Linked DNA regions of Arabidopsis thaliana. The protein of the gene in region 1 interacts with the protein of each later gene in a pairwise test. Each region holds a gene or a part of one and is shown in the gene's direction. Other genes may lie near its edges.

Evidence for each region.
Region 2: the proteins of AT4G29930 (region 1) and AT4G32960 interact in a two-hybrid assay, tested with the Arabidopsis thaliana proteins (one large-scale study listed by BioGRID).
Region 3: the proteins of AT4G29930 (region 1) and AT5G10710 interact in a two-hybrid assay, tested with the Arabidopsis thaliana proteins (one large-scale study listed by BioGRID).
Region 4: the proteins of AT4G29930 (region 1) and AT3G13350 interact in a two-hybrid assay, tested with the Arabidopsis thaliana proteins (one large-scale study listed by BioGRID).

Annotation. Positions count from the first base shown.
Region 1 is NC_003075.7:14,640,466-14,649,068, forward strand, and holds AT4G29930 (basic helix-loop-helix (bHLH) DNA-binding superfamily protein), read left to right. Parts: upstream 1-3,528; 5' UTR 3,529-3,642; coding exon 3,643-3,722; intron 3,723-3,844; coding exon 3,845-4,010; intron 4,011-4,394; coding exon 4,395-4,652; coding exon of another isoform or gene 4,653-4,703; exon of another isoform or gene 4,704-4,752; coding exon 4,753-5,040; 3' UTR 5,041-6,894; downstream 6,895-8,603. Other genes in the region: PRHA (pathogenesis related homeodomain protein A), read right to left, coding at 7,881-8,135, 8,290-8,370, 8,528-8,603.
Region 2 is NC_003075.7:15,906,480-15,913,039, reverse strand, and holds AT4G32960 (BRISC/BRCA1-A complex protein), read left to right. Parts: upstream 1-2,747; 5' UTR 2,748-2,898; coding exon 2,899-3,165; intron 3,166-3,636; coding exon 3,637-3,795; intron 3,796-3,886; coding exon 3,887-4,255; 3' UTR 4,256-4,468; downstream 4,469-6,560. Other genes in the region: AT4G32970 (BRISC/BRCA1-A complex protein), read left to right, coding at 180-253, 419-470, 799-845, 971-1,070, 1,152-1,343, 1,520-1,552, 1,682-2,240, 2,332-2,369.
Region 3 is NC_003076.8:3,375,406-3,384,492, forward strand, and holds AT5G10710 (centromere protein O), read left to right. Parts: upstream 1-3,550; 5' UTR 3,551-3,809; intron 3,810-4,179; 5' UTR 4,180-4,213; coding exon 4,214-4,225; intron 4,226-4,321; coding exon 4,322-4,370; intron 4,371-4,470; coding exon 4,471-4,519; intron 4,520-4,603; coding exon 4,604-4,674; intron 4,675-4,802; coding exon 4,803-4,861; intron 4,862-4,920; coding exon of another isoform or gene 4,921-4,937; intron 4,938-5,115; coding exon 5,116-5,214; intron 5,215-5,694; coding exon 5,695-5,752; intron 5,753-5,984; coding exon 5,985-6,121; intron 6,122-6,196; coding exon 6,197-6,253; intron 6,254-6,694; coding exon 6,695-6,792; coding exon of another isoform or gene 6,793-6,808; exon of another isoform or gene 6,809-6,921; coding exon 6,922-7,103; intron 7,104-7,175; coding exon 7,176-7,243; 3' UTR 7,244-7,461; downstream 7,462-9,087. Other genes in the region: AT5G10690 (pentatricopeptide (PPR) repeat-containing protein / CBS domain-containing protein), read right to left, coding at 79-311, 414-549, 671-739, 855-1,016, 1,096-1,193, 1,321-1,453, 1,565-1,927; AT5G10695 (methionyl-tRNA synthetase), read left to right, coding at 2,412-2,615; AT5G10700 (Peptidyl-tRNA hydrolase II (PTH2) family protein), read right to left, coding at 2,648-2,696, 2,824-3,002, 3,088-3,462.
Region 4 is NC_003074.8:4,332,235-4,339,941, reverse strand, and holds AT3G13350 (HMG (high mobility group) box protein with ARID/BRIGHT DNA-binding domain-containing protein), read left to right. Parts: upstream 1-1,925; 5' UTR 1,926-2,137; coding exon 2,138-2,322; intron 2,323-2,797; coding exon 2,798-2,876; intron 2,877-2,969; coding exon 2,970-3,132; intron 3,133-3,228; coding exon 3,229-3,276; intron 3,277-3,651; coding exon 3,652-4,028; intron 4,029-4,113; coding exon 4,114-4,221; 3' UTR 4,222-4,467; downstream 4,468-7,707. Other genes in the region: WIP3 (WPP domain interacting protein 3), read left to right, coding at 1-827, 959-1,470; AT3G13340 (Transducin/WD40 repeat-like superfamily protein), read right to left, coding at 5,339-5,752, 5,851-5,937, 6,124-6,229, 6,314-6,405, 6,495-6,605, 6,683-6,817, 6,978-7,064, 7,150-7,317 and 1 more. UniProt on the Arabidopsis thaliana protein: Binds preferentially DNA with A/T-rich content.

The DNA of each region.
Region 1 (8,603 bases):
TATACGATATTACGATAAGTAGTAGTAGTACAATGTTCAACTATTGCAGTCAAAAAAGCATTTTTCACCTTTTACATCTTTTATGGATAGTTTTCACTATTTTTATAACTTAAAAGATGAAACTTTGGTTTCATATAAAATTCTTTTGATCATCTAGCGTCGTATCCAAAACTAAAGATCATATACGTATCTTTAGTTTTGTTTATATTGGGAATATTAACTTTATTATCTATTTATTAGTGTCACCTTTGCTGTGTAATGTGTATCTCCGTATATCTATGTCTCATACTTAGTGATAAATGATTTTTTGCAGAAGGATAAGCTTACAGTGAAAACAATAATCCAATTTCTATGAGGTTAACAAATATGTATATATATTTTAAAACCTCTAAGAGGTTAACATATTTTTAAACGTAAATATTAGTTGCTAGTCGAATTTCTTTTTAACAAAGATTGGCACAAAAATTAATGCCCAAAATATGATTTTATTTAGTTGTTACCAAACTGCCTATAGTTTGATAAAAAAATTATATATAAAAAGGAAAATTAAAAAGGGAAACGAAAAACGGAACAAATCATTGGAGAGGATCGGTCAAAGAGGAATAATTAAGCTCTTTCTTTTTAACAAATTTTATTGTCATTCACTTTTATATTTGTCTTTTGTTGGGTACTGTTGAACGAATGTTTCTTTACTTCCATCACAAGACAAATAAATAACTCAATACGTCGCAAGTGATTCTTTATATTCCTAACTGTCGACTAGAAAGAAAATAAATATCATAGTTCTTTGACAAAAAAAAAAGAAAATATCATAGTTACTTTACTCCAAAATTATAGCCTATGACTAGACTTGATTGGCCATAGAAAATACTTACATATTATGTTATGATGGAATTTCTTCAGTAGCTATTCAATTCTTGTTAGGATACGACGCTATATTATGATGGAGTTTCTTCATTATTTACATGTTATATTATGATAGATAGAACAAGAAACAAAAATAAAAAGCTTCTATGTAATTAATTATGGAAACTTTCTTTGGTAATTTTTGTTTGGACGTTGTAAATTACTTTGCTGTTTTTTATTTTATTTTTTTTTGTATATGTTGCGTTTTCGTTTATTGTTGATTTATATATTCATCTAAACGTGCTTCCAGTTTTAAATAAATTTATTTTGTATTTGTAAACTTAAAAGGCCACATGGAAAATTTTCAAAACTTTACATAAATGACTGAAATTACAATTTACACCATTTTTCTTCACACACTTAAGAAGAGTCAAGACTAAATTTTGGAACATTCAAACGGGCTAAACCATTAAGCATCTTTGTCTGGGCCGAACTCAAAATATATCTCTGTTCAATCCGTGCCTTCAGCCCAACATGTGTTTTTTCAGCCCAATAAGTTTCTTGCATGTTTTGAAATAAATAATGAATTTTAGTCGAATTACTTTCTCTCATATCGGCATATTTTGTTCATTTTGTTTGATGAATGGGTTTAAGTCGTCGAAGTTGGTTAACCGATATCGTAACGTAAGATTGAACCGGAGTTTCAATACTCGTTACATTTTTTCGTATTCTAGCTAACGTGAACGGATGTTGTTTATACAGCTTTCTACTACAAAAGTAGATTTCAAAATTGAACTGCGATTTTCTTCTTACTCTTCTAGAAACACTTCCTCATATTTAATAAGAAACGAAAGAATTAGACTCCGACAATATTGGGAATGTTTAGTTGTCATTTGGACCCAATATAATCAATTCCATACATTTGCAATTGCAAGGTGGGTGAGTCATCAAAATTTATGAATCTTCCAAAGATTATAGATAGAACAGCTTTTAATTAGCCTAATAAACAAAAGGAAATACGATTATGCATACAAAATAAATTAAATATTAAGACTTTTAATGAATTCTTAACCAAAACCATATCAAGTCATATCATACACTATCCTCCATACACGTGGTAGCATACATAAGTACGTTAAATAATTTTATTTAGCAAATAATTTTATTATAATCATCTTTGATCACCAAGATCATGTTGGGCCATCCAAGCCACGACTTTAGTAATGTGAAAACAATATCATAAGGAACGAAACACTGTTCATTTCATACAATTAAAATACAACTTTTTCCTACACATTTTCTCAAGAGTTTAGTAAGTGAGAGACGAATGATTTGAGAAAACAGTTTTTACTTTTTTCGATTTGTTTCTCAAACTCAGTATTTTCGGATTTCTAATCCAGATTAAAAGTTCTGAATAAAATCACGGGGTATGGAGCAAAGCCGATATAAGTAAAAACCTTTCCATATTGATAGACACTAGATTTTTTTTTAGTTCATAAGATAGATACTAGATTTAGTTTGAGTATAATGGATTAATGTGGAACTAGTTGTATTGTTTAGTATGTGTATGTTGTATGATTTAGTGACCGTCTTCAGTTTTCTTGATGTCTTTCCACGTTTTACAAATTCTTGAAAGAACTGAGAACTCAAATGTATGATACATAACCATTGAAAAAAATATTTCCACCATCATAAATAGAGTTTTACGAATCGTTTCACAACTTTTAATTCAGTTGACACCATTAAATAATCAATATTTCTTTAGTTACAATTCAGTAGAATAAAATTGCATATGCTATATTATCTAATTCTATGAATATTTTCTGTCTATGATATTTGATTTTTATATACTTTAGATTTTGGATCACCCCCACATTATTTCGCTTTTCAGTCACATTTTGTGTTTAATATTGCTAGATAAGTCCGTGGTTATAGCTTACTTTGTTAAAATCATATATCTCAACTTATTTCATAACAGTATCTAAAGAAGATGGAATTTTATAAATATATAGACACTCAAAAATCAGAAGAAAATATATATCCACAAATAATAGAAGAAAACATAGATTTACTGCATTCAAATCAAGGGACATGAAAGAATATCCTGGACCCAAGTGGGTTATATTTTCAATAAAATTTAGCAAAAAAAGTTGACAATCAACTAATCATCACCATTATTGGCCATAATCATTACGTACGCATACACATAGCCACGATGTCTACCTATGTTTAAATCTTTGAATTCTGAAACTACGTATCTTTTATTTTTGTTTAAAAAAAACCTAGTACGTATCTTCTTTCCTTACTTAGACATCATCTTCTAACTTTAAGGATCGAAATTAGAAGAAAAACAAATGATTAATATCTACAAGAACAGAATTTTGCATTTATACTCAGATACTCTTCTAGTACCTCACAAAAATAAAATGAAATTGGAATTGAACACGCCCTAAATTCAAGTACTATACGGTCTATACCCATTTGAGTATATGAATAATGCATATTGTGAGTGAAAGAGATAGATACGATACACTCTTTTCTTTGTTTTTCAATTGGACAAAAGGAAACAGATTTTGATCTCTGAATTGAACGGTCAAGATCGTATATAATTATTTCAGGAGATTAAGATCCCACGTGCTTAAAAACTCTCTGTCAGACTCTTTATGTATAAAATCCTCGGCCCACTCTTGTTTTGATAGTACACTCAATAGAAAGACACAAAGAAAGAAAGAAAGGACAAACAGAAATAACAAAACCTTCCATTTCAAGAAAGCATCATCTTTGTGTGTCCGAAAAATGGAAGATCTCGACCATGAGTACAAGAATTACTGGGAAACCACAATGTTCTTCCAGAATCAAGAACTCGAATTTGACAGGTGCTTACTAGAATCTTGGTCCATTTTTTTTTTTTTTGTTTCTTTAGTTTTTTTTTCCGATAAAGATTAATCTTGCTTTAGTTGGTAATTAATGAAAATTGTTATAAATTATAAAATTTAAGTTGGCCGATGGAGGAAGCGTTTTCGGGTTCCGGCGAGTCGAGTTCGCCAGACGGAGCGGCAACGTCGCCGGCTTCTTCGAAGAACGTTGTCTCCGAGAGAAACAGACGGCAAAAGCTTAATCAGAGACTTTTTGCTCTCCGGTCAGTTGTTCCCAATATAAGCAAGGTATGATTAATTATTCCATTACTTCTCTTATTTGTTTAATCAACTGTCTCTTTTAAATTTAATTTGTTATCCAAATAATTTAGTAATAAAGTTTCGTCACCAGCAATTTTTGTTTTGGTCAACAGAAATTAAATAAGCGAATAAACTTTCTCTTCTTTCTTTTGTAAAGAAATAAAACTATACAAATACAATCTGGTTAAACCAAATCCAACCAACATTAAACAAATAAGCAAACCAAATTTTTGATACTCTAAATCCATATCAAGCCATACTAAAATGTATTTTGGTCCCCTAATTACCCTGATAGCATATAATTGTATACGTGTGATGATTTGTTGATTAAGACTGGATTTTATTGAAGTATTAATATTTATCTATTTTTAGTTGGACAAGGCATCTGTCATCAAAGATTCTATCGACTATATGCAAGAACTTATTGATCAAGAGAAGACTCTAGAAGCAGAGATCAGAGAGCTAGAATCACGGTCAACATTGCTAGAAAATCCGGTAAGAGATTACGATTGCAATTTTGCGGAAACTCATCTGCAAGATTTCTCAGACAATAATGACATGAGATCAAAAAAGTTTAAGCAGATGGATTACAGTACTAGAGTACAACACTACCCCATTGAAGTTCTCGAAGTACGTACTATGCATTATTTGGCAGTACATTCTAAATTACCTTTCTTTTGAGGTAAAGTTAATTATTCCAAATTGTTTTTATATAAACATGAAAAAACAGATGAAAGTGACATGGATGGGAGAGAAGACGGTAGTGGTATGCATAACATGTAGCAAGAAAAGAGAGACAATGGTGCAGCTTTGTAAAGTGTTGGAGTCTTTGAATCTCAACATTCTCACTACTAACTTCTCTTCCTTCACCTCTCGTCTCTCCACCACCCTCTTCCTCCAGGTCACTCTCTCCCTCTCTCCCTCTCTCATATCTTTATTTGGCAATGTGATTACTAGTACAAACTACAAAATTCTAAATGCATCTAGAGAATACTGTACGTGTCTTGTTTTGGTTTGACGCTCATTTTGCACTCATGGAGCGAAATTATAAAATGTTAATGGAAAGAGATGATAATATAGTTTAGAAGATTCTTGCTAATAAAGAATGTTAGATCAATTGTAATCAGCTATAAAATTAGTTTTATGCACTTGTCGGACTATAAAACACACCAACCAAATATATTTGTCCATTTTTAATTTGTCGCAACTATTCAGACTTTTATATACCAAATTCAAATCTTACTATTTTCTTTTCTTTTTGGTTATTTTGGGAGAAAAATGGTCGTCTGACGGCACGTAGACAAATCCTTTAGTGGACAAGAATTAATAATATGAATAAAAAGCATATGACTAAGTGCTTTAGTAAAGTGGATTGTTCTTTTGTTTTGGTAAAGAAAATATGTTATCTTTACGTAATAGTACAAAAATGTAATTCAAACTTACGAATTGTTTGGAAAATCACTATCAAATTCAAAAGGATAACCTTTAGACGGACCCATTTAATTACTACTTTTCTCCCACCTGTCTCCATTAAGTGGACCTTAATTCACATTACACCTTAAGTATATATAGTCAGTAATATCTTAATCAATCAATTAAAGCTCCAATTATTGAGGTTGCCTCGAGCCCATCACATTTTTTTCGAATTTCGCCTTGACTTTTTCTGATAGGGTTAGATTCTCTCAAAAGTTAAATGTCATATTCCATAAAAAATTAGGATTAACTTAATCAAAAAATTAGTGTGTGAAATCTCAAGTGCCTCGTGTCCCAGAAAGTGCCGTCCAAGCATAGTAGCACTAGAAAAACGTGGCTAATTTATAACCTCACGCGGTTCAACGTTTGTCTCTTTCACACTTTTAGCACGTGACTTTTCTAGCACTACACCTTATATCAATTCTTAACTCAAATTAACAATAGGCTACAAATCAACTGTAGCCAATTAGCAAGTTATTTGTGTTAACTAGTTGTATATGGTTCATAAGGTCTTCATTATGCTAATCATTTTGGTAAAAATTAGTTACTCCAAATGATATCCATAGCAGTTCATGGTAGAAATTAAGGTTTGGTCCTTTTTAATATAAGCAGATTTGTTAAGAGTTATTATTTTGTGTTTTTACTCTAAAAAATACAAATTCATTTCATTATCTCTATCTATTTGATTTGTTTATCATCATCATATACTAGGACTTTGGTGTAAACAATCTAATTACAAAAATGCTAGTTTCGTGAACTAACGTTCTATTTTTTTTGAAAAAGGTAATTATATTATAAGCTGTAGGTTGGAAATTTTTGATGACAACAAATACGAGTATTTCTTGCCTCACAAATGAATATAATATTATGTTGGTTTTCTTTGACAAAAAAGAATTATGCACCTTTATAACATTTTCTTGATAAAAGATAATATAATCAGACGCTAAAATTACAGTGAGGTATAGACCAGTGGAGTCATTGAGAGTTGGTGAAATCATACTCCAATCATTTATCAAATAAAAAGTCGATCATTTCATTTCAAACCTGTCCTTATCCGTCCTTTTAAAGATTATACAAAAACATTAAACAATGATTTATCCACCAATCTCATTTTCCACGGGAAATAATTATAGTAGTAATGCGTGCAGGTGTATATACACAAATTTATCAGTTCTAATTTTCTTTTTACGTGCTGCCAAAAAAAAAGAAGTTTTTTTTGTCTGATTCGTGTAAAACCTAAACACCCCTAATTTTAATAATCTATACTGACGTTGGACTTCCTAGAATCCTAATTTACTTCAAAATTCTGTAAAGATATCGTATGATTGAAATAATATAGGACTGTTTTAGTTTATATTGTGATAGATGTATTAATTATAGTAAATCGTTGAATTTGCAGGCGGATGAAGAAGAAAGCAGTGCAGTAGAGGCCAAGATACAGATGGCCATCGCAGCTTATAATGATCCAAATTGTCTTATCAACTTCTAATTTACTTCTGGTTTTTTACTTAAATCCGTTTTATGCAATATATGTGAAGAGCTACTATTGTGAGGGTTTATTTGTTTGAGCTACAAAACATCCGATGTTTTCTAATAAAATAAAACAAAAATATGCATGTTCCTTCTTATAATCTTAAAAATTATACTTCTAAAAAAATCATTTGAATTAATTGCAATCATAACCGAGTATAAGAAGAAAAAAACATAAAGAAATATGGTTAAACTAAAAAAGCAAATATGACTTTATAAAAGATTTTGTGGATACTTTGTCTTTGAATTGATGAACATGAATCAAATGCATATTGTAAGTTGCAAAATAGAGAGACTTGCCATTTGTTTCAATTTGATCTGTAAAGTTAGGCAACAAATGTTTAGTAAACTCATAAAAGTGACAGTAGGCTTTGTTAAGGAGTTATGTTCAGATAATTGCAGATTTGTAAACAATTTATTCTTACCGCTATATACACTCGGTCTAAAAGCTTTCTCTATAACCATCATCTTTCTATGATTATTACTTGGTTGAAACTAAAAATATAGTTGCCAATCTTACTCTATCTGTAAGAACCTAAATCTTTCAGCTTTATTATTTTTTAAACTAAAATTAAAAGCCAAAGTTATTTGGAAAAAGGGAATTAAAAAAAAAAAGAGAATAAAAAACGAAATGTACATAATTCAAAAAAGAGAGCTAAAAAGTTCCATTAAAAAAAAAATCCCAGTTTTATTTTTTTCTGGGGGATTTTATCTGAAGTTTAAATGACACATACAAACTGAATAATACACAAAACTACATTAGGTACTCTCTTAGACTACGTTCCAAAAGAATCTAACAATACCAAAACTTCTGCAAAGGACTTTTTTCTTTTCTTGATATATATATATATATTGTTACCTTTTCTCCTTGATCTCTGCTATTGGAACATACACTACTGAGTCTTCTTCAAGTAAAGGAGAAGAAGAATTGCCTAACTTTTTTCGGCCTTTTGGTGTTTTAAATCTATCAAGCCTCTGCGTCACGTCCAGTAACTTGTTTTCTGTTCTACAAAGCATCTCCATTACTGCTTCCAATTCTTCCTCTTCCGTCATCTTTCTCCCCGTCTCCTTCTCTTCTAAGCTCATTTCGTTGCTTAGCTCTTCATGTGACTGAACACAATAAGAACAAATAAACTTTAAAAATCTACAATTGTCTAAAACCACTTGTCAAACCAAATTCATGGAAGCGATACTTGATCATGGTTTCTTTAATATAGATATGTTCAATAAACTCATTTTGGCGAACCAGCTAATTTCATTTTACCTCTTCCGTCATCTTGCTCCCTGTCTCCTTCTCCTCTACCGCTGTACTTAAGCTCATTTCGCTGTTTAGCTCATCATGTGGCTGAACATAATAAGAAAAATAACTTTTAAAATCTGAAATTGTTTAGAATCACTGGTCAAGGCAAGTTCATGGAAGCAGTACTTAACCATGGTTGTTAAATATCAGATATATATGTTCTATCAACTTATTTTGGCAAATCGGCTAATTCATATCTTACCTCTTCCATCATCTTGCTCTCTGTCTCCTTCTCCTCTACAGCCGTCTTTAAGCTCATTTCTCTGCTTAGCTCTTCA
Region 2 (6,560 bases), 1.3 Mb from region 1:
ATTGCGAATTGTAGTAATAACTATTCATGGTTTCAGCTTCTTATTCTCTTCATGTTGGAGATATTATTTTCTTGAACATCCATTGTTTTATCTTTTGTATATACTAGTTTCATTTGCTAAGAACAATGTAAAATAAAAAGAAAAATTTGTATACTCATGCTGAATCAATTCCTTGACAGACATCTGATTTCAAAAAGTATGATGAAAAGATAGTTGGGTCGAGGGTTAAAATCTGGTGGCCGTTGGATCGCGCGTAAGCATTTTGTAGTTTGTGCTTTAATATACTACTTCAATTTATTTATTCTTTCTGTGCTATGTATTTTCCTTTAATAGCTGAATCTGGACTAGCACCTCGGATGGTTGCTGGTTGCATTTCTGTCGACCATGCCTGTAAATGAGTATTGGATTTTTACCACAGGTATTATGAAGCTGTGGTCATTTCATATTGTTCTGCTAAAGAGAGACATCGGGTAAAGCTAAATATATCAGTCTTCTACATAACTATTTTCGTTGGTTTTTGGTGAATCATTAGTCTATTCTCCTAAGTGATACATATTTTTAATTTGATCCAGGTCATTGATAATATGCTATATTTGTTTATGCTGCTGCTGCTATGTCGTTTTCAGGTTCGCTATATTGATGGAGATGAAGAAATCTTGAATATGAGAAAGGAAAAGTGGTATTTTTCTGAATGAATCAAAGTCATCAAAGGTGGGGAATTATATCTCTCATCTCTGGTTTTTTGTTTTGTTTCATCCCCCGGATTTTGTTTCATGCTTCCACATTTTCTGTTAGCAGGATAAAGAAGCTAATCAAACGGGATGTGATGAAGAAGCCTCCACAATGTAAGCATTACTTCTCCAGTTCTGGTGTTTTTGTGGTGCTGGAATAGCTCGATGTGAATTTTTGTTTATGAGATCAACTCGATGTCTTGGGATGAGACTGGAATAGCTACTGTTTCTTCATGCAGGCCCCAGAAGAAGAAAGCTAAGACACGCAAGGAACAGTCAACTAATAAGCAATCAAAGATGCTTTCACCATTTCCACCTAATGTTAAAAAGGATGATGAGGTCATATATAGAGAGGTTCTTACCATTTTGTTTTCAGCAACCAATCTCTTTTGTTAAATTCTTTCCATTTATTTTCCTCAGGTTCCCCAAATATCAAGGAGGCAGGCAGAACAAGTTCTCAGTAACTGTGCTAGCCAGATTAAAAAGTATCTGACAGAAGCAGGGAAATTGTCGAGCGTCTCCTTAGCTAATCCCAGTGATGTAGTGGATTCAATATGTGGAAGGGCATTTGATGCTTTAAAGCAGGAAGATGTTGTTGCTAATGAAAAAGAAGTAAGCTCTCTCACATATACTAGTGCACTGTATCAAACTACCTTTATTGTTTGTAGATAATATACTTGCATCATGTGTCTCATACAGATGAAGGTGGTTTTTGAGTACCAATGGTTATGCAAGTCGTCTAGTTTCATTTGTTCTCTTACGGTTCTAAAAATTTGTGTATTCTGCAGGACCGTCAAGGCCCAAGAGAAGCGGCAGTAAAGGCATGCTTCTTTCTTCCTGAAACCAGCATTGAAACACTGAAATCTTTCATTTGTAAAAAGAAGATGAATGTCATCCTCGCTTATGTTGGAAGTAGATAGTTAATTGCAATCTTATTTTCCAATCAGCAGGAACAACAGAGAGCAGCAGAAGTTTCTACCCCTGAGCTAACTTGTGTACCTGAGAGGGGACTGAACCTGGAGCAGTCACTAAGTGTTTGTCCTCATGATTCATCTGTCAAATCAGCTATTTCTTCTATGAATGAGAATGGACACAAAATCCTTGAGATGGTTCAACAACCAGTGGCTGAAGAAGAGGATCTTGCAGAAACTAAGACTAAGACATACAAGCGAGCTCGAGTCGAAAGCTCCAGCGTTCATAAAGCTGATGGCGAGATGGAGAAGGAAGCTGCAGAAGGAGAACCCTCTTGCCGGTCCCACAAATCGAGTGCTGAGCCCGGAGACTTGCAGCCTAAGAACCTCCCTGAACCTTGCTCTGTCACACAACAGCTGGCTAAGGTCAAACAGAGCATTTTAGACACTGTAGCCAGTGTAAGACAGTTTCGCTGTGAGCTGGAAAGAAAGGAACAGAGCATTGCAGACACTTTAAGCATTGTACGACAGTTCCGATCTGAGATCGAGGAAAAGGAAGATATGCTAGAAGCTTCACTCCTGGAAATCGATGTGTTAGGTATGTGATATGAATGCTGATGAACACTTAAGAGTCTATTTTTCTTTTTGGTTATAGGTCTCTCTGATAATGTGATGTTTGGAACAAACAGGGGAGAAGATATCGGGAATCAACAAAATCCTCAACTGAAGATCATCAAGTGGATTGCAAACTCAACTGGTATCCTGAAACTAGTTGGACGATTGAGTAACGTAGTTGACAACCAGAGAGAAGTCATTTTTTTGTATAGCGTTATCACTCGCTCAAGTCTAAAGACAGTTGATTTTCTTAATGTCAAGTCAAAAACCAATAGTGGTTCTTATAGGCACCACTTTTTTGATGATTTAACAAAGTTCGAAGTTACCGCAATTGCTAATACTGATCGATTCAATCAAAAGAAAGCACCAAGAAACTGCATAGCCTCAATAACAGAAGTAAAAGAATCTCTCTTGTGTCCTAGTGGAACTACTCAATGAAACGATTTTTGCTCATTCCCATTCGTCAAAAAAGTCAAAAGAATCAAAACGCTGAAACTTTTTCTCTGTACAAAGAAAAAAAAAGAAAACATTAAACGACGACGTCGTGTTTTAGTTTCACCAAAACGCATCGTTTTATTTATATCGGACGAACCAGTAGAATTGTAGAAAGTAGAAGAGAGAATTCACTACATCGGCGGCGAATGGAGGAAGAGAGAGTGGCCGTGACCGGAGTAGGAACGACTCGATACGCGCTTAAACCGGGGCGTATAAAAAGCGAGGACATACTCATCTGTATCGATGTAGATGCAGAATCGATGGTGGAGATGAAGACCACTGGAACTAATGGTAGGCCTTTGATCAGGATGGAGTGCGTCAAGCAAGCCATTATTCTCTTCATTCACAATAAGCTGTCCATTAATCCTGATCATCGCTTTGCTTTCGCTACGCTCGCCAAATCAGCCGCTTGGGTATACTATTACTTTTCTCTCCGATTCTCTTTATGTGATTCAATTTGGGGGCTTTCTTTTGATTTTTGACTATGCTCCTCAATTTTGCATTTTTAGTTGAAAATTTTGAAATTCATGATAAGCTATACAGTATGCATCTTGGAGATTTGAATTTGCTTTGAACATATTCTGAACCTAATCCTCAATCTTAAACCTGGTTTTTCATGGATGCATGATTTGTTGAACATTCTTTACCTGATTGAAACTTGATGGTTTTTTCACCTGAGAATGGTGTTCTTGTTACTGTTTGTAGCTTCTAGATGTGTTGTGAGAATCACATTTGATGCTTTAACATAAGCTTCACTGGTGAATGTTGTGTGGGAAATAATGTCAAATTTGGTTCATGAAACTTTTGTTTAGATCCTCTCTACACTATTATCTGTGCTGATTGTTTCATTTGAAAATTGAACTTGAGGCCTTTTTATGTTTCAGCTTAAAAAGGAGTTCACAAGTGATGCTGAATCTGCTGTTGCTTCCCTTAGAGGATTGTCAGGTAATAAATCCTCTAGTCGAGCGGATCTCACACTTCTCTTCCGAGCAGCAGCTCAGGAAGCCAAAGTTTCCAGAGCACAGAACCGAATTTTCAGGGTGGTAAGGTTTATTTTGTGAAACTACAATCTCCTCTAGCCACAGCCTGAAAAATAAACGATGTTTTACTGATTTTGTTCATGTCGCCCTGCAGATTCTCATATACTGTAGGTCATCTATGAGACCAACCCATGAGTGGCCCTTAAACCAGAAGCTCTTCACGTTGGATGTTATGTACCTGCACGACAAGCCAAGTCCTGATAATTGTCCACAAGATGTGTATGACTCTCTTGTCGATGCAGTAGAACATGTTTCAGAGTATGAAGGTTACATATTTGAGAGCGGTCAAGGGCTTGCACGGTCTGTTTTCAAGCCAATGTCAATGCTGTTAACTCATCCTCAACAAAGATGTGCTCAAGATGATCTTGACATCCCCATGTCTCTTGCAAAGAAAGTGCCTGTGACTGAGGCGGCAAGTGCTGTAGATCCTCACAATGGGAACAATATTCAGATCATAAACTAATGAAACACTTTTTTTTTTTTCTTGTATCTTTTGGTCATGACATGGTTGTGAGTTTCGCATGTGAAAAAAATACTCAAAACCTGTAGTGACAACTTGTTCTAGATCCATCAAGTAAGAAACTCAAATGTCCAGATGAATATAAATGATTTTCTTATTTTAAGAGAAAATACCTCATCAAGTCCTCAAGGGCTCTCTAATAAAAGGTATTTGCAATATTGTTTCAGCTATTAATGATGAATTAAATGTCTAATATGAGCTAAATAAATTGAATTATGTAACTAGTCTTATCTTTTATCCCGATAACCATATCAGCAAACTTTTCATATGAATGAATACATAGATAATGCACAAATTAAAGTACGTCATTGTGTACATGGATATCTTAGTTTATGGAAATGTGTGGCTTTGAGAACGAGAAGCTAAGAAATATTACAAATTGCTTTGAATGTTGCAAAGTCAATACATCGATCAAGTTGATATTCAATGTTTTAATATATTGGGTAGATATTCATATTGGCGAGATCGTGATTGCATGATCTTCAATGTTTCTTTGGGAAGAAATTCATCAAAAATCCATTGGCTTATCCAAAAGAAAAATCTTCACGATTTCATGAAAATATATGCATGTAATTTAGTTTCGCTTTCCCTTAAGTTTATCCTTATAGCTAAAGCAACAGTCTAGTTCGTAAATTATGCCTCTCGGATAGGTAATAGCTAATGGACGATGTCACCACGACTTTAGGAAAACCTAAAATATATCTCAAAACAAAATAAAAATAACAAAATGTTGCCATGCATTTGGGTTTAGGAGATGACGATGCCAGCAACATGTACGGCATCCGTTCTCTATATATATATTAGATCCCATTCGTACGGCCTAACTTCTCTCTTTTCTCTTTTTCTTTTTATTATTATTACGGCCTAACTTTGATAGAAGAATATGAAAAACGAATTTAATAACGTTTGACTAAATTATTAAATTATGAATCCATAGATTGGAATCCTACAAGATGACACATCATGTGCCTTTCTAATTTAGTAGCGGGGTAGTCTATAAGAATAAAACTAATTTTAAAATTAATGTCGAATTGCTATGTGTATTGACATTTTACGTACATAAAATTTTTAGTCAACTAGTTTAATTTTTGGAGCCGATATTGATTAATCTTAGAATCTTACCAATGATTAGTAGTCTTAACTAAAAAATTCCAAAACTACATAATAAAGAGTAGGTAAATTAATTCACACCTAATCTAAGAAAACTAAAACTAAAATATGTCTTTTCAAAATAACGTATAGTACAATAAATGTATAATATAGTTCTGTACTTCTGAATAAAAGACCAACTAGATCATCAATATTTTAAAAGAAGTACAGAAAACTATTGATAAAAAGGATGTGATGTGAGAGTTGACCCTGTTGTATCGTTTGATATGTCCAAAAGGTCAGGAAAAGCTGGCTTAATTAGTAATTAGTAATTACAAAGTACTTACGTCACATTTGTTTATTATTACTCTTTTCTTTTCGTTTACAAAAATTTAGAAAAAATAATATTTATTTAATAATTGTAAAAGTATACTCCTCTTGCATTAATATGCAACATAACAATAACTGTTACATAGCATTTTGCAACATAAGAATAAGTGTTACATAAACATTTTTGGTAAAACTATATTAATGCAAGAGGAGTATTTTCTGTAAATTTTATGTAAGTGTTAGTTAACATAGAAAAAAAAAGGTTATTGGAGGAAATTAACTATGGTTTTGTGCTATGTATGTACCTTGGTGTCCCAACATAGTCTATTGTCAGATTAAAAACCGAATCAAACGTTATTAGATTGATCAAAAATAAACTCTATTAACGATAAAACCACTACACGAAATCAAAAATAAAAGAAGTTTTTTTTTATTTTTTGGTTTAAGGTACTCAAACTTTCAAGATCAAACGCATACCCTGACTACTAGTCTGCTAGATTAATCTCCATTTCATCAGTTCTCTTTCTTTTTCTATTTTAAAATTACATACTTAGTTAGCAAGCGGATGGATGAATTTTTCTTTAAATAATTAAATATTTGGTGAGTCTAAACTTGTTGGCAATGACAAAGAACAAGAATCCCGTTGGTAAAATCTATTGATAACTTCCAAATTCTCATTTATATTCTGGAATAAATCAATTAGTAGTTTAAACAAGATACTAATCACACCACGTCATGTGCCCTTTCAAATGAATATTGGGATGGGATGGTCCAGATCATATTTTTAACTAATTAACTGTAAATTGTTATACGTTGTCACTGCCACCAG
Region 3 (9,087 bases), on another chromosome or scaffold:
AGAAAATGATAGACACCACATAAAGGATAAAACAAATAGAAGGCCCAAATCCAGAGAGTTTATCTAATTCGTTAGTACCTGGCCATCATTGAGAGCTGCTTCCATCAGGAGATTATCAGCTTCTTGTTGAACCGCCTTGGAGATTGATCCTGAAGAATCCGGCCATAAGCGAAGATACAGATTTCTAACCATTCCATAATCCCCTTGGACAGCAAACGCACGCATCATAGACAGGTACAAGTGAGGCTTTGGTCGCAAGACTTCATTAGCTCCACTTCTCTTCAATATCTCACCAAATACACAAAGGGCCCCTGTGAACATATTCAATAAAGACCCTAAGAAGTTACTTCAAGAGCATCTATGTCCGGATGCTGAAAGCAGCAATAATCAGAAATAAATTCATAGTATCATACCGCTTGTTGAACCACACTTCAGCATGGCATCAACTACTGCTGTAAATGCAGTTCGGTCAATGAACACGTTCTCACACAATTTCATTTCCAAAAAAATTTCCTGCAGTGATAACAGATCCGTTGCATCCCCAAACCCCTAAGAAGTAGAATTATCATAAGAGGCAGAAATTGATAACGTTTAAAGCAGAAACTAAAAAGAGTACTAGGCCATCTTCCTACATAATGATCAGATATGTAATGAGATATTGCTGGCTCACCTTCACCAAAGTGGTGTAGGTTACAACATCTGGCTGAAGAAAATCGTCGTAATATTCCTCTGCTTTCTCCTGAATTATATTCAAAACCAAGACATTATAATTAATATGAGCCAAGCTCTACCCCAGTACTACTCTGAGTAACACTTGGAGTATAAAACTGGCCTTTAAAATATACATGTGTGACCTTCATATCATTGAAAAACTTCATAGCCGCATCCAAGTCGCCACACTTAATGCAGGCATGGATCAAAGTATTGTAGGTCAACCTATCTGGCTCCAATCTAAGGCGTAACATTTCATCCAGCAAATTTATTGCAGCTTGCGGAGATTCTGAGTTGACATAGCCCTGAAATATATAACAAGACATATACCATGATGATGCTTCTCTGACCCTAAATCAAATGCAACTATGTGTAAAGAATTACCTTCATCAGCAAGTTATAGATAAGAACTGACGGAGTACCATGATCTAGAAGCAAAATATCATATCGTGCAAGCAGACCATTGGCACGACGTAAATCTCCTGCACTAGATCAATATCAAGTGTTTTTGCATCAGCTTCAGGCCATTTCACTAACACCAAGATTACATAATCAAGATTAGCTGCAGCCTGTTGAGCACGAGAAACAGTTACAGCTTAAGAATCTTACCAGCATTGATAAGAGCGTCAAGCAGACCATAGATAAGAGATGATGACAATTTGGGAGTCCCAGCAGCAGTTCCATACTCTATAGTCTCCAGCATTTGGAACGCTTCATCAATCCTCCGAGCCTTACCCAATCCCTTAACCAATACAAACGATTCGACATCAAATTCAGGTTGACACACGAAATCAAAATTCAAAATTAGAGGAAAGAACCAAAATTCAAAATTAGAGGAAAGAACCAAAATCACCTTCAAGATAGTAGCGTAACTAATAGAGTCGACTCCAATTCCACCAGGTTCCGCCATCTCATGGAACATCCGAAGAGCCAAATCAATATTTCCACAGTGAACGCAAGCTTCGAGAACTGAGTTCATCACAATTGTGTTGAGCCTCCCATACCGTTTCTTAGCGGCTTCTACCTCCTCCACGATCTGACCAAGCTGACGACGGCGCGTGAGGAGAACAATGCGAGAAGTGAGAGGCTTGAGATTGATTCGCCTGGAATAAGGAGTAGCTCTGCGAGGATAACACCGTCGTGTCGGAACAAAGGAGCACGACGGAAGAAGAGGGAGAGGAGTGACAAGAGTAGAAATAGCTGAAATCCGATTCATCTTCAAGGAGACCAGAAGCTACCCATCCGCCATTGATGGGCTTCAAGCTTCACCTTGAGGCTTGAGCTAATCGAAATAGATAACGTTGGAGAGAATCTGAAATCACAGCAACAACAATCAGTCAAGTTATTCTTCACCTTGGCGGGTCGAACAAATGTTACACAGTGTGGAGATTTAACAAATTTGGGCCTTGAGCTTTGAACATTAAAGCCCAATATACTTATATTCAACGTTGACGTGAGTTTTGACTTTTCGTTCCCCTAATCCAAAATTGCTTCTAGATTAAGCTATATCTCTCCAGAACTAATTTTCGACACTGCAACTTTTTTGACGCGGAAACAAAATATGAAATATCCTAAATTCCATGGAGTCTCAATCTCATCCTTATAAATATCATCAAAACTACAACCCTTTTTAACGCGGAAACAAAAAACTAAGAACGGTTCCATTTGTTTTCATTGTCTAGAAGAGAAGAAGAAGAAGGATGTGTTTGGTGTTCGTGTGTGATCAGGACGAGAGGGTGATCGGAAGGTACGCAGCTCCTGGAGCGTGTCCGTACTGCGGAGGAGCGGTTCAAGTGGTTGACGTAAATAGCCAGTGGAGATTCTGCTTCGTTCCTCTCTCTAATAAATCCAAACGTCGTCATCTCTGTTCCACTTGCGGCAAACGACTCATCGTCCATGGCTGAAAACAAAACTCCCACCTCATACGAGATCATTTCTATATGTACATATATCCAAATCTCTGACTTGCTTTGTGTATCGTGTTTCTAAACGTTTGTAAGAAAAAGAAAAGAACATGTCTTCTCTTTTATGATTTCTCTGTATATGTATGAATCATGATTATGAAAATGAGAATTTTAAGAAATTGGGATTTTGGAGAACAAGAATGATCACTTGCAAAGCTTGAGCTTTTTGAAGAAAGAAGAGACTTGGGATTTAGGATAAGGCTTTGTAGCAATACACGTCGGAATATTCTCCGGCTGCTCCATCCATAGCTTATGAGAGATTCCTCCTAATTTCAGCTTCTCTGACAAATTCATCATCTGCGTTTCCCCTTTAACTTCCAGAGTCACCTAATCCCCAAAAAATAAAGTGTTTTAATTAATCCACCATTGATTCCGGCCAGAGAACTCTAAAATTAGGGTCATGTTGACTAACCTTATGCATAGAATCAATGTGCTGCGGATCACAGTACTGAAGCGTGACCGGATCGTCTTTGAACGACCAGATCGCTGCCACTGACGCATGACATCCTTGTGTTACAACGCTCCCAAGTGGCCACGAATCGATTAGATCTCGTCGAAGCACAACGTATTGCACCACGACGTCGTCGGGTTTCTCCGCCGACGAAGCATCGACGACGGCATCGATTTCGCCAGTCTGCTGGCTCATTGAAGGAGAAGCCGTTGTGAATCTTCGGAAATGAGCAAATCGGATCGTAGAATGATAAAACCTAATTCGCGGCGCCGGAGCAGAGAGTCGGCGGGTAACTATCGGGAATCGAAACGCTGCGGAGAGGACGGCGGTCGCCATATGAAAGGAAGACGCACATGGACTTTTGCTATTGGATAAGATTTTTCTTAATGGGCTTTTAGTAGACCCAGTTATTTTCTGATGTCTCCTCAATTAAAATCAAATCTAAATTCGCTCTGGTTTATCACTTAAACGGCATAACCAAACTATTTCATTCGCTCGAAATCCAAACCAAATAAATTGATTCTTATTTTCCTGATTACTCTTTTCTCCTTTCGCGGTTGAGATTTTATGATCTTTCCGAACGAAATCAAGCATTCCGACGTCCGTACACTATCCGGCGCTGCTTAAACCGTCTCTCGTCGCCTGTCTGATCTGTTATCTTCTCTACTCTCCGGTGTCGTTGAGTAATCATTCTTTTCTTCTTCTGATAGAGTTAATTTTCTTTGTTATATGTTTGAGGCTGCTGCACGAAATTTTAGCTGTAATCCTCTGAAAACAAGCTCTGCTGATAGGCATGATAGGGTTTCTAAATCAGGCTTGTTTCTGTTTTGTATCGTTCCAGTGTGTTAATACTGAGCAGAAATCGTGATTTCGCTGAGTATAACTCTTGTTGATTTGGTCGCTTTAGGGTTTTGCTTCTCACTCGTTTTTTCAGTGTTGCAATTTGTTTGAATTATAGAATTACTTGGAAATACTAGCTGATTTAGATGTGATGTATGAACATTGAAAATTTTGGTGTAGAGATTGATTATCAACTTCTCTGCTTTTTGGTAGGAGCTTGGTCAAAAGACCTCTTGATAAGCAAAATATGGGAGAAATGGTAAATTACACACCCTTTCCAGGTTTTTTATTTTCTTTTTCCAATTGTTACCTTGAAAAAGGCAGATTCCACAACATTTGCTTTCGTTGCAAATAGATTGTTTCAATGGACCAAGATATCCGACTGGATACAACACGAGCAAGATGTGAGTAAACAGCTTTTCTTGTGCTTCAGATCCTTTTCTTTCTTTTTTTGGTTTAAAGCTTTCTGGTAATAATTAGTCAATCTTTATGCTCCTTTCCTAGTGTCAAACCTTCTCAAGAGGCATCGAGAATTGTCAGACCGTCTTACTAGGTAGGAAATATGCTTTTGAACTATATAGTTCACTTCTCGATCTTTATGTTTGCTAAGTTTGTATTTGGTGATCATTCATTTTAGGGATTCTGATAAGACAATGTTAGATCGCTTAAACAAAGAATTTGAAGCTGCACGGAGATCCCAAAGTCAGGGTGGGTATGGATAGCTGAATTGCAGAATTGGACGAATTATCTAACTGACTTTTTTTTTGCTTCATAAGTATTTGCTCATCCGTGTATCTATTTTAATCAAATGCTGTATTTGCTCCTATCCTCTGCAGAAGTCTTCTTAGATGGGGAAGAGTGGAATGATGGTTTGTTGGCCACATTAAGGGAACGGGTATGGCATCCATCATTGTGTGCTTCCTTTTATTGTCAACATTGTTGTGTACTTAAAAGAGGTGTTCCAAGCCTTGGTATCTAGTTGAAGAAGACTTAGTAGACACTTTAATAAGGGCAGATCTAGATTTGATTATGTCGTTCTGATAAAAAGAGTTATATGTTCTTTGTGCTATGAAATCTTTTATGCCATCTTTTTCTTTTCTTCTGTTGGCTTTATTGAATTTTTCCTGAACTTGACCATGAACTGTGTAGGTGCATATGGAAGCTGACAGAAAGGCAGATAACGGTAATGCAGGTTTTTCACTAGTTTGTCATCCTGAAGAACGAATTACTTACAGAGTGGGAAATAAGGTACTCCTGAGGTCTTACATTCTTCCAAATTTCTTCTGTAGAGAAATTGATTTTGTTTGTACCCAAGGTCTGTTGGTGTAAGCCTTATCTAAGTCTATATAGCACAGAATTTACCATGATTCTTTCAAGATACCCGCAAGGAAGACTACTTCTGTCACAAAAGATATACTATATGGCTGTAGAAATTTCTGGATAGTCCAAAGGAAACCTATCGTTTTGTTCATTCATCTTGGCCGGATGCAATGTTTGCCTAAAAGATAGATCCAATCAGACCAATCTTGGTTGTATACTTGTATATCTTTGTTGAAGAATGTTGATTGTTGTAATGTTGTGTCTTCCCCCAAATTTTGTAGTTGCTACAAACTTTCCTGATTTTAAAGTTTTGACTGACACCTGGCTAATCTTAAGTTTAGAATGACCTCTCACTTTGAATCGATACCAGGTCGTTTTTGCTTATATATTTGGTGTTTTATCAAACAGGTGATATGTTGCCTAGATGGATCGAGAATTGGAATACAGTTTGAAACATCTACTGCAGGTATTTTGAACTATAACTGGCATTTTGTCACAATTTCCAAGTGTTTTTTCTTTACCAAAAATTATTAGCAGTTATCATAATGATTTTTTCTTCAAAGGTTTCTTACCTTTTGGCGTGTCAGTGAAAGAGAGTTAGCTGTTTTGTCTCCATATTTCTATGTATATGAAGACATTGGGACTTTTCCTAACCTTTTCATCTCCCTGTATATGATAATTAAATCCGTTTTATATAGGAGAAACTTACGAGGTTTACCACTGTGTGCTTGAGAGCAAGTCGTTTTTGGAGAAGATGATTGTGCTTGAGCACACAATTCCTTTCTTTTTGCCGCTAAGTGACTTGGAAAATGATCTTCTTTTTTCGAATGCTAAGGTACCTGATCTTCAGTTTATCCTCTTACTTCCTTGTCTCTTATATGTTTTTGGTTTTAACATTTTTCGATGCCAGAAATTCATCGATAATGTTGGGGATCTCCTGCAAGCATATGTGGACAGAAAGGAACAGGTTTGTCAAAAATCTAGATCATGAGTAGATGTTCAAACTTAGATTGTGCTTGTCATATTGGCCTTTTAAATTGTTGTTTTCGGTCATGACTTCTTAAGTTTTTAACCTGCTGGCTTCTTGTTCAATTTGTTTCTCAGTAAAAATACATCAATATGCTCTCTAGATAGCAATGAAAATGGTACTAAAATCATGTGACCAGTTAACTTGGAGTAAGAGAATCTCAGCACTAATGTATCATCAACCTTGTCAGATTAGGATATGAAATGATTTTTAGATGTATTTATTTTATAATGAAAAACGGGGCCAAATAATCTGGTGTGACTATACCGGGTGTGTTGTTATTCACCACTGTCGGTGAAATATGCACCAAAAGTCTAAAGTGTTAGGAACCTCTTAAATTTCACAAGTTAACCAGGATGCTTCTCCTGAATTTCATTATAGGTCCGGCTTATCAAAGAGCTCTTTGGACATCAGATCAGTGAGATTTATCACAGTCTTCCTTACCACATGATTGAATTTTCTATGGATGATTGTGACTGGTTAGCAATTTCATAGATCCATATACTTCCTCTTAACTGCTGCTACACTAGATATTGATGTGGCCATGTTGCCACTTAAAATTTTGTTTTTATAACCTTTTAAAAAACCAGATATGTTTTGGATTATAGCAAGTTCGTGGTGAGCCTTAGATATGGAGATCTTCTGTGTGAACTTCCGACAAAAGTGAGAATTCTAGTATGGCCAATGCATCATCTGTCGAAGAAACAGTGTACAAGCCCTGGAAGTCCAGCAATCCCTGTGCGTTTACCATTTGCCGAGGATGCTTTCCGGATCCAATCACTACCTGAAGGTATTCCTAGTTTAAATAACGATCTGTTTAAGTTATGTTTCTACGGTTTATTTATTCTTTTGTTCATTGCAGCATACGCAGAGATTATGCCGAACATGCCGAATGAAATTCGGCAATTATTTCAGACTAGTCCAAGCTAAAAGTTGAAGCTGTGTGCAAACTTTCTACTTGTCTCGTTGCTTCGTTGTATGATGTTTGATTTTGATCCTTGTTCCAAACTGTTAAAATAGTGCTATGAAGAATACCTTTTACAGAATGGATTTGTTCTGCTATTCTATTCCGGTTAAATTGTGCTGCTTCATCGATTAGCCCATTACTAACTGCTCGAAACAGAAACAGATAGATGTATGAAGTTTTGTTCTCTATGGCATACTGTGGTTCGATCATATCCTTCATGAATTTACGCACTTGAAAGTCAAAAGTGGCTGTAAATCAACTAAACTTATCTACAATGAGAAGAGATATACATTTGTTTTCTTGGTCCACCATTTAGCAATTTTTCATATTAAAGATCCTAGTTGAAGTAATTAAAAACGAAAAGTATGTTACTAAATATGAAATTACGGTGATGGTAAGGAATCCCGGAGTTGTGTTACCCACTTTGAATTATCTTTTCACAAATCCATCCATGCAAAAACTTTAAGAGTCACTACTTATTTTTGTTGCTGTTCCTTCCCCCATCACTTGTCATATCACAATTTAAGAGATTATGCTCCTTAAACATATCGGAACTTAACATAGAAAGTTCTTGATAAATGAAAAATTTGTTCATTGTTTCAATTATTTTTACTGTATGAAAGAATTCAAATGGGTTTGTACTTGGCAAATTACTTTTTGTATTTTTCAATGAGTTTTTTCTCAAAAAAAATTAGTAGTAATACTCAATATATCTACATCGAATAAGTGACACAAACAAAAATCAACTCAATTCTTCTCTAGATTATGGCCGGACTATCAGACTTAGGATCATAATAAGAGAATGTACACTTTTTCCTTTTTTATAAAACCAGAAAACAGTACATTGGAGATTTACTTTAGATCTATCTTCCTGAGTGATTTATTATTGGAACATATGATTAAGACACTGAAAAGTTCCTTGTCAGAAATATAAATGTAAAGAACTCTGACCAGGGCCCTACACGGGATAGATTATCGAATTTTATTTTAACCCTTTTTAATAATGGAACCCAAAAAAGTAGTATCAAATAATACTAAAATCGACTTTAAAGTAATACTAATCCAAGTGTTATTATGAAACTACTGAAATACCGAAAATTATGGTATAGCCACACACTAATAGAACCTCTTAAACATGTCATCTTATCATCCATCTAACCATCTTAATAAGTTATTTATTCTGTTGGAAAACTAAAATATAGTTTGTATGTTACTCTTAAGAGATTCACGGATGACATTTCCACTCGGAAATTATTATAAATTCTAACAATATAATATTATTGAATTAACAAAATGAATCTATATGGCACCGAGTCATTCATAACAACAATATATATGCCCCCAACTATTGACTACAATAAATCGACAACCAATTTGCAAGTTTTTTTTTTACTTAATCATATGCCACCACGACGTAATCCATGATGGGTTAGTCCAAGGAGGTAAAACTTTCGTGAGATGGTAAATTTCTCTAATAATCTTAAAGTAGTCATAATGTCAAACCCAACTTTGCACACACATGTATTATGTATATGAATATAATATAATAATGTACTAAGTAAATAATTAGGAAGAAAGCTGAAAAGTATGGTCCTGCTTTAATCGAGAATTAAACAAATCCGGTATTTAAGGATTGGTGTCCCCATCCAATTAATATCTCCACATTCTCGTCTTTTCGTCCAAAACTAAAAAAAAATAACAATATCCTTAATCTCCTTCACCACCGTCCATAATTTTTGGCGCGAGAGCAACAAAAAAAAAAAAACACGACAAACAGAAGAAACTTGTTTGAAAATGATTAGACCAC
Region 4 (7,707 bases), on another chromosome or scaffold:
TTCAGTCCCTGCAAATGGATTATTAGTATTGCCTGATAATGATCATGAGGAAGGAGGTGTTGGATCACCTCAACGATCGAACAGCGTTGAATCTCCTGGTGGATCAGTACATTCTACGAGGAAAGGTTTTGGTTTGAAGAAATGGAGACGGATCAAAAGAGATGGTCCTGTGAGAGATGAGGCTGCTCCTGTTGATGATGGTAGTAAGTTACTGAAACGTGGATTGGCTGGTTTGGTGAATCCTCCTTCTAAACATGTAGAATTTTCTTCAGTTGAAGCAAGGCAGAGTAGTGAAGGCTCTGTTGGGTCAGTGAATATGGTGCATCATCCAGGGGTAGCCAACGGGTTTAGTCCCGATATAGGTTGTATGTTTGCTGTTGGGCAAGCGTTTGAGAAAAGTGAAGAGCATAGTGGTAATACCATAGGTGGAAAGAATGTAGTAGGAGGGAAGGTTGTTTCAGGTAGCCAAGAGAAACTCTGGAGTGATACCATCAAGAGGGCTAGCGAAGAGCGGGGGGATATCGAGAAGGAGAAGCCTTGTTCCAGCTTGGATTCCGACTTGAGAAGTAGTGATTTTGTGTTTTCGACTGGCTCGGTTTCTGTTGGTAACCATGGAGAGAAAGATGAGAGATTGACGATGAATTATATTGGGGGATTTAGCAATGAAGGTCAAGTTAAGGAGGAAGTTCAAACATATAGCAGAAGCGAAAACGGGAATAAAGAAGACGATGGAGAGAGTAAGAAAAACAACAATCATTGGGCAGATAAAGACGCACTTGCAGATTCTATCAGAAGCTTTGCAGTTCTGCAGGAAGTTCTTTGGAAAGGTTTGCACACGAACCTTGATTTTTGATATCCATGTGAATTGTTTCAATGTTCATGTCCTAAAGCTCCCATGTTTATATTATCAATGTTACATGATATTTCTAAACTAACTATGCGATTGAAACGTGTGCAGAGGTTCAAAGTTTCCAGGAGCTAGGTAAGGAATCTGTACTACTACATTCGAACACCGATGAATTGAGTTCAGACCAGCCAAGTCATCAAAATTGTAAAGAAGATAACTCAACATCCTCAGGATCAAAGGCACTGATCTTGAAGGAGAAGGTAAAACTTCTGGAACACAAACTCGAGGAAGCGAGAGCTGCTCTCGAGGCAAAGGAAGCTAGGATCCAAGAACTCGAAAACTCAAAGATTGAATCTGAACTTGAATGCATCTTCCAGAGAAAGATTGAAACTGAAATCGAACATTTGATGCTCACAAGATCTCTGAGTTCACTACAAGTACTCCAAGAAACTAAGAAGTTACATTCTCTGAAAGAAGATCCTGTATCAAACCGTGGAAACATCTTAGGAAAAACATGTAAGCTCGGTTTCTATATCTTGACACAATTGATCTTGCTCGTCTCTATACTTCGGTTTCTCGTCCTACAATTCTCTCCTGCTTCACGATTAGTAATACCAACTTGAAAAATTCCTTCTCCTTGTTGTGTTACCGAACATTTTTTTTGTTTCTCCAGATTGTAATAAATAAGGTCTCTCAAGGATATTGTCCCCATTGTTATAGTTAAATTACGATGTTTAAATTTCCCATCAACAACTAAAGAGACATTATTATTTTGTGAACTAGATTTTTGATATCGAATCCGATCACCGGTTATAATGGTTTGCCGACGGTTTTTGTGATTTGACTCAAGAGTGTAATAAAACCTTAACTTAAATCTTGGTTTTTGATTCAATCTAGATTCGGTTAATCAACCGGTCCGGTCTGGTTTTTAAAACAATAGGCCATTGTTGTAGGGAGTAGTTTAATCGGGGCAGAGGCTTATGCTATGGGCTTGGACTCTCAGGTTTCGTCTTAAACCTAATCAAAGTAATTTAAGCCGAAAACGGAAGGAACTAAAATTGGTGTCTTGACTAAAAATAATATAAAGGACATAAAATTAAAGTCCCCAGATAAAAGTTTGTATGATTTAGGGCAAAATCTCAGAAGATAAAATCATTCAAATTTGTGTGAATTTCGTTTAATCCTTATCCAATTTGTCCCAATTTATAATCTTATAAGAAAAATAAAAATCTGAAATACGGTGGTCTCAATTGCTCTTACCTTTACCAAGACGGCCATAAGAAAAAAAAGATGTCGACCGATATTTCACCACCCTACTCTCAAACTCACGTGGAGCCCGTTAATGGTTATCCTTCTGACAACAAGAGATGCGACGATTCCTCTGTTCCTGCCAAATATGATGATCTTGTCCGTAACTCTGCTCTCTTCTGGGAAAAGCTCCGAGCTTTCCTCGGATTAACCAGCAAGACTTTGAAGTCAGTTTCTTTCTTACCCTTTTCACATTTTTGTGAGACCTTTTCGTTTGGTTTAAGATTGTGGAAGAAAAAACCCAACTTTGTTTGTTTGTATCTCTCCCGAAGATTGGTTAGGGATTTAAGGCTTGAGGTGTTGTTATATTGTTTGGTGAGATTGAAAGCAATAGAATTAGATTTTGTTGCTCAGTGAAATGTTGAAAATTGTCAATTAGGGTTTAGTGGATTCCGGATTGGTGAAGTTTAAGCAGGAAGTGCGTTATGTCATGTGTATCGTCTGTTGAATTAGATTTATCGTATTCTTTACCTGTTTATATTGTTCATAAGGAAATGAAATCAAACTGGATTTAGTATTTACTAATCTGGATACTGTAATTATATCTATGAACGAGTTTAGGCTTAATGTGTGTTGTTTTGTCTCTTGTGTTTATTAATTGATCACTGTCTGGTAATGAAACATTTTCCGTCTCTGTAAAAGGGTTCCTACTGTGGGAGGAAACACTCTTGATCTGCATCGGCTTTTCATCGAGGTTACGTCTCGAGGTGGTATCGAAAGGGTATGAATGAGTTCATGTTACCGTTAATCATACTTTTGGGAGATTAATATTGTTCCATTGAGTATTGAAGTGTGTATGTTTTTTTTACTCTAGGTGGTGAAGGATCGGAAATGGAAAGAAGTGATTGGTGCATTCAGTTTTCCGACAACGATAACAAGTGCATCGTTTGTCTTGAGGAAGTATTATCTCAAGTTTCTTTTTCAGCTGGAACATGTGTATTACCTTGAAAAACCGGTGTCTTCACTCCAATCAACAGGTCTATTTCAGCACTAAAATTCTTATCGTTGTCTTACCTTTTCTTTCGTTGCTCTGTTACATACTGAGATAAGCCAAAATTCTCATGCTTTTCCAGATGAAGCATTGAAGAGCCTTGCCAATGAATCTCCAAACCCTGAGGAAGGTATAAGACACGTTTCTCTAACTCTTGTGGCTTTTTTATTCTTCCCTCCATATCTTTGTCCATTCATCAGTATGTAGTATGTTGTATTTAGTATTCCGTTGGATAGAAGTTTATTATTACAGATTCTCTTTAAAGAAGTAATGTCTGGTAGGCCTTTAATTCCCCAATCTGGTTCATTAGTTTTCTCACGTGACAAAGATTCCTGAGTTTAACGTGTTACAAATATTGGCTCTGTTTCACTCCTTTTAGACTGGAACAAATAAATATACACTTATCTTTCCTTTGATTCCATTCCTTATATGTTTTGAGTTTACCGCGTGTGTGTCTAGTAAAATTTTGACCGTGTGTCTTTGTGCTTCATTGTGGAACCTGCAGGTATTGATGAACCACAAGTTGGGTATGAGGTTCAAGGATTCATTGATGGGAAGTTTGATAGCGGCTATCTGGTGACGATGAAATTGGGTTCTCAAGAGCTGAAAGGTGTCCTTTACCACATTCCTCAAACGCCAAGTCAGTCTCAACAAACCATGGAAACACCTTCAGCCATTGTACAATCATCACAACGCCGGCATAGGAAGAAATCAAAGTTGGCTGTAGTCGATACTCAAAAACCCAAATGCCACAGGAGTGGCTACAACTTCTTTTTTGCTGAGCAGTACGCGAGGCTTAAACCTGAGTACCATGGACAAGAACGATCCATCACTAAGAAAATAGGACACATGTGGAGCAATCTCACTGAATCTGAGAAACAGGTAACCAATCATCATCGAATTATATCCACTTTTTTTTTTTTTTCATTAAACCAGTGTTTGCTTACAAATTTGTTCATCATTACAGGTTTATCAAGACAAAGGAGTTAAGGATGTGGAGAGATACAGAATTGAGATGTTGGAATATAAGTCTTCACATGAATCAGGAGCTACTGCTTCTACAGTGGCTCAGTAGCTTTTCTCCCTTTTGTTGTCTTACGTGTCTGTTGTAACATTTTTCCTTTTCTCTATAGAACTTGTTTTCTTTTTCTTTCTAAATGTAATGTTTTCTATCAGTTGGAGGATTTGTCAGCTTTATTATGGCTTTAGAGCTAGTGAGGAGGTTACTAACTGTGAACTAGTGTCTCTCTTGTTGTTTCTTTTAGTAAGTGCCATTTTTGTAGTGAATTACAGGCATATCCATATATCCAGATCTTTCTTCAAAAACATGGCGCATATGTTTCTTTTCGTTATGTTACTTGATGATATGTGATGTATCTTTATTAAGTCCCCGTCTGTAGTATCTTTATTAAGCTCAAAGTTCGGCGGTGGAGGCGTGGAGCAAGGTTTTGCGGTCATGCAATGGTTCTCTCAGATGGACGGAAGCTAAGCTGTCACGAGATGAGATCTTGACAAACCAATAAGTAGTCTGATAGGACCTAAGGCCGGTATTGACGTCGATTTCCTGCTCTGTTTCATACCACAATAAATATTTCATGTTATAAATATGAACATTGAGTTATGTTAATAATGGACGTAATTTCCAAAAGTAGTATACGACACATCACCATTGTTGTTTAGTGATTAGAGAAATCATCTGTTATTAGGGTTTGTAATCGAATTATAACGAACAAAGGACTATTATTAATTTATTTTAATTTAGTTAAGTATCTCCAAATTCTAAACTCAGAACAGGATCTAAACACTCGAGTTCCTACAACAACCACAAGTACAAGGAACAAAAAGAAAAGATCACAAGCCACCAAACACAACAACAATGATCCTCCCGACTTTGAATCCAGAACCCGCTGCGGAGCCACCCTCAAGTCCTAATCCAGTCTGTGCCACCACTGAACCAGCCCTTTCTGTACACATCTTGAACCTTTTGAGACCAGACATAACCAGACATAAGGAAAATAACACACCAGCCGGAGAAGGAAACAAAAGACACTAACTAACTAGCATTTGCACAACACATCATTTACATCTTTGAGATATCCATATATCTATGCTTTGCTTCTGTCATGTTCACTGGTTGCTGAATGAGCTCTCTTTTCTTCATTGGACAGGGTTGTGTATACTTCTCTTCTAGCTTAAAGATACGAGTCAAGGTAGGAATAGTTCCTGCGCCGACCAAACTCAAGGAGGCTACCATAAGTGCGGTCCCATACCCCAATAAATAGCGCCTCTGTGTCAGGGCTGAAAGATATTCCAGAGATTTCCCCAAAGAAGTCGATTTCCTGCTCTGTTTCATACCCGTTTGAGACATCATAGACATGGACAAAGTCAGCCGGTTCAGCCATGGCCATGTATTTTCCATCTGATGTGTAGCGGATTGACCGGATTGCTCCCAGGTTACCCTTCAAGACAGTAACAGACTGAGATAGGTTACGGATGTCCCATACACGACAAGTCTTATCTTGGTTTCCTGTAGAGAAAGTGACTCCATCCGGATGCCACGCAGAGGCAAAGGAAAAGTCCAAGTGTCCTGATAGTGTTTCCAACGTCTGCAGAAATTCCAAAGATGTGGAACTATAAAGCACACACGTGGTGACAAACCATTTGAGTATCTCACACACTTATGTCCAGGACCGCAAATATGTACCTTTCCTGTGTTGGGGTCTACAATAAGGCCCTCCGGGTTGTCTCCAACAATAGCCAGTAATTTACCATCAGGACTCAAAGATGCGTGCTGTACCAACAAATTGAAAACAGAGAATACCATTTTTGTTAAATGATTCAAAACACATGTACCTTTATCACTTGGATTAGGTACACTGAAGAAGAAATGGGGTTATAAAAGCCTAACTGTAACTCATGCTATTTTCCGCAAGTGTAAGAGATCAAAAGCAAACCAAGAAACAAATAAGGACTTTACATTCACTGGCCAAGGAAAACGGAAATGCTTAACAAGCTGGTATCTCTCCATGTCAAAGTCTCTAACTCCACAGTCATTATTTGACGCAGTAAAATGAAGTGCACCACTGTAAACAGAAGCCAAAACTAAGTTACAAGCAGTGACTCTAACAACTTAATGTGGACCTTTCGGGCAAAGGACTAGCACAAACCTGGGTTTGTTGTAGATCTCAATAGCATTGGTTATAGCATTATCATCATAAGTCATACGAGAGCAAAAGCTGACACCCGGTCTATCAAGATGCTGAACCAAAGTGGAAACAGATGAATCTCATAGAACAGAATTGCAAGTCGATAATGTGATTAATCCGTGATAGATAAATCTAGAGTTACCTTGCAAATAAGTTCTCCTTGAAACCCGCCAGCAACCAGAAAGTCATCTTTTACTGCAAGTGTACTTACTTGAGTCTGCGTAAATCCTTCAAGTAAACTTCCAGGATGTTTCTAAATGCAGCAAAAGCAGTTCAGCACCACATAGAGTTACAGTAATGTAGAACTTCTACATTCTGACAAAAACCAACCTCAGATGGCGCAACATGACCACGGACATTGAGAACTTCATGCTTTCCAGACGTTAGAGAAGAATAATGTGTAACCAGAAAATTTGACATAAGATACACGTCGTGCTTAGAAGTTGCCCATACCAAATTTCTCAGCTATGACACCAATAAAAATTCTTGATCAGATGGAGGTTTTTAGCAGTAGACAAATGTTATGTCCACAATCACGCCAAACACAATAAATAAATCCAATCAGAAAGAGAAAGACTATCAACTAGTCCAAGTTAGTGAGCTCTCAATATTAAAAAAAAAAAACCTGGAAATGTAGTATAGTAGACTTAATAGATCGTGAATTCCGCCAGAAGTCATAAAATAGTCCTCCTTTCTGTGTGACCTTGCAAACCTGAATCCATACAAAATGATGTATTAGGTGACTGAGCTAACCTGAACACTAATACAAATAGAGGATCAGAGGATATAACCCTTACCTTTTCTGATGATTCTCCAGAATTAGGGACATTTTCATAATTCTTATACTGTTCTAATCTAGTTTGTCTGTATTTCTCTCTAGAAATATTAAGTCTGTCCCACGGAATCCCCTGGATATCTTTCCCTTTCCGAGCTTGCTCAGCCGTGGTATCAGCTACTTTATTGTTCTGAAACCATATAACACGAAATTAAAACATAGTTTAAAAAAAAAAAAAGCTGTAAAATGAGATTAGAAAGTAGCATAGCCAACAAAACATGTTCCATCTCATCATACTAACCGAATAGTCAAATTCTTCAACGTCAGAATCTGAAGCACCAAGATCATCACCACGAAACTCCTCATCCATATCATCTTCAACATCTTCCATCTCATCATCTACGTCTTCCATGTACTCAGCATCATCTCCTCGATAATTAGACATTCTTTTGGTAGATAAATAAAGACACCTGCATATACAAACACACAAACCATATTATTAAAGCTTTTAAATCAAGAAATTCTACATCCCTACTCAAAAATGGGGGCATAAACTGCACATAAATAGTAATCAGTGAAC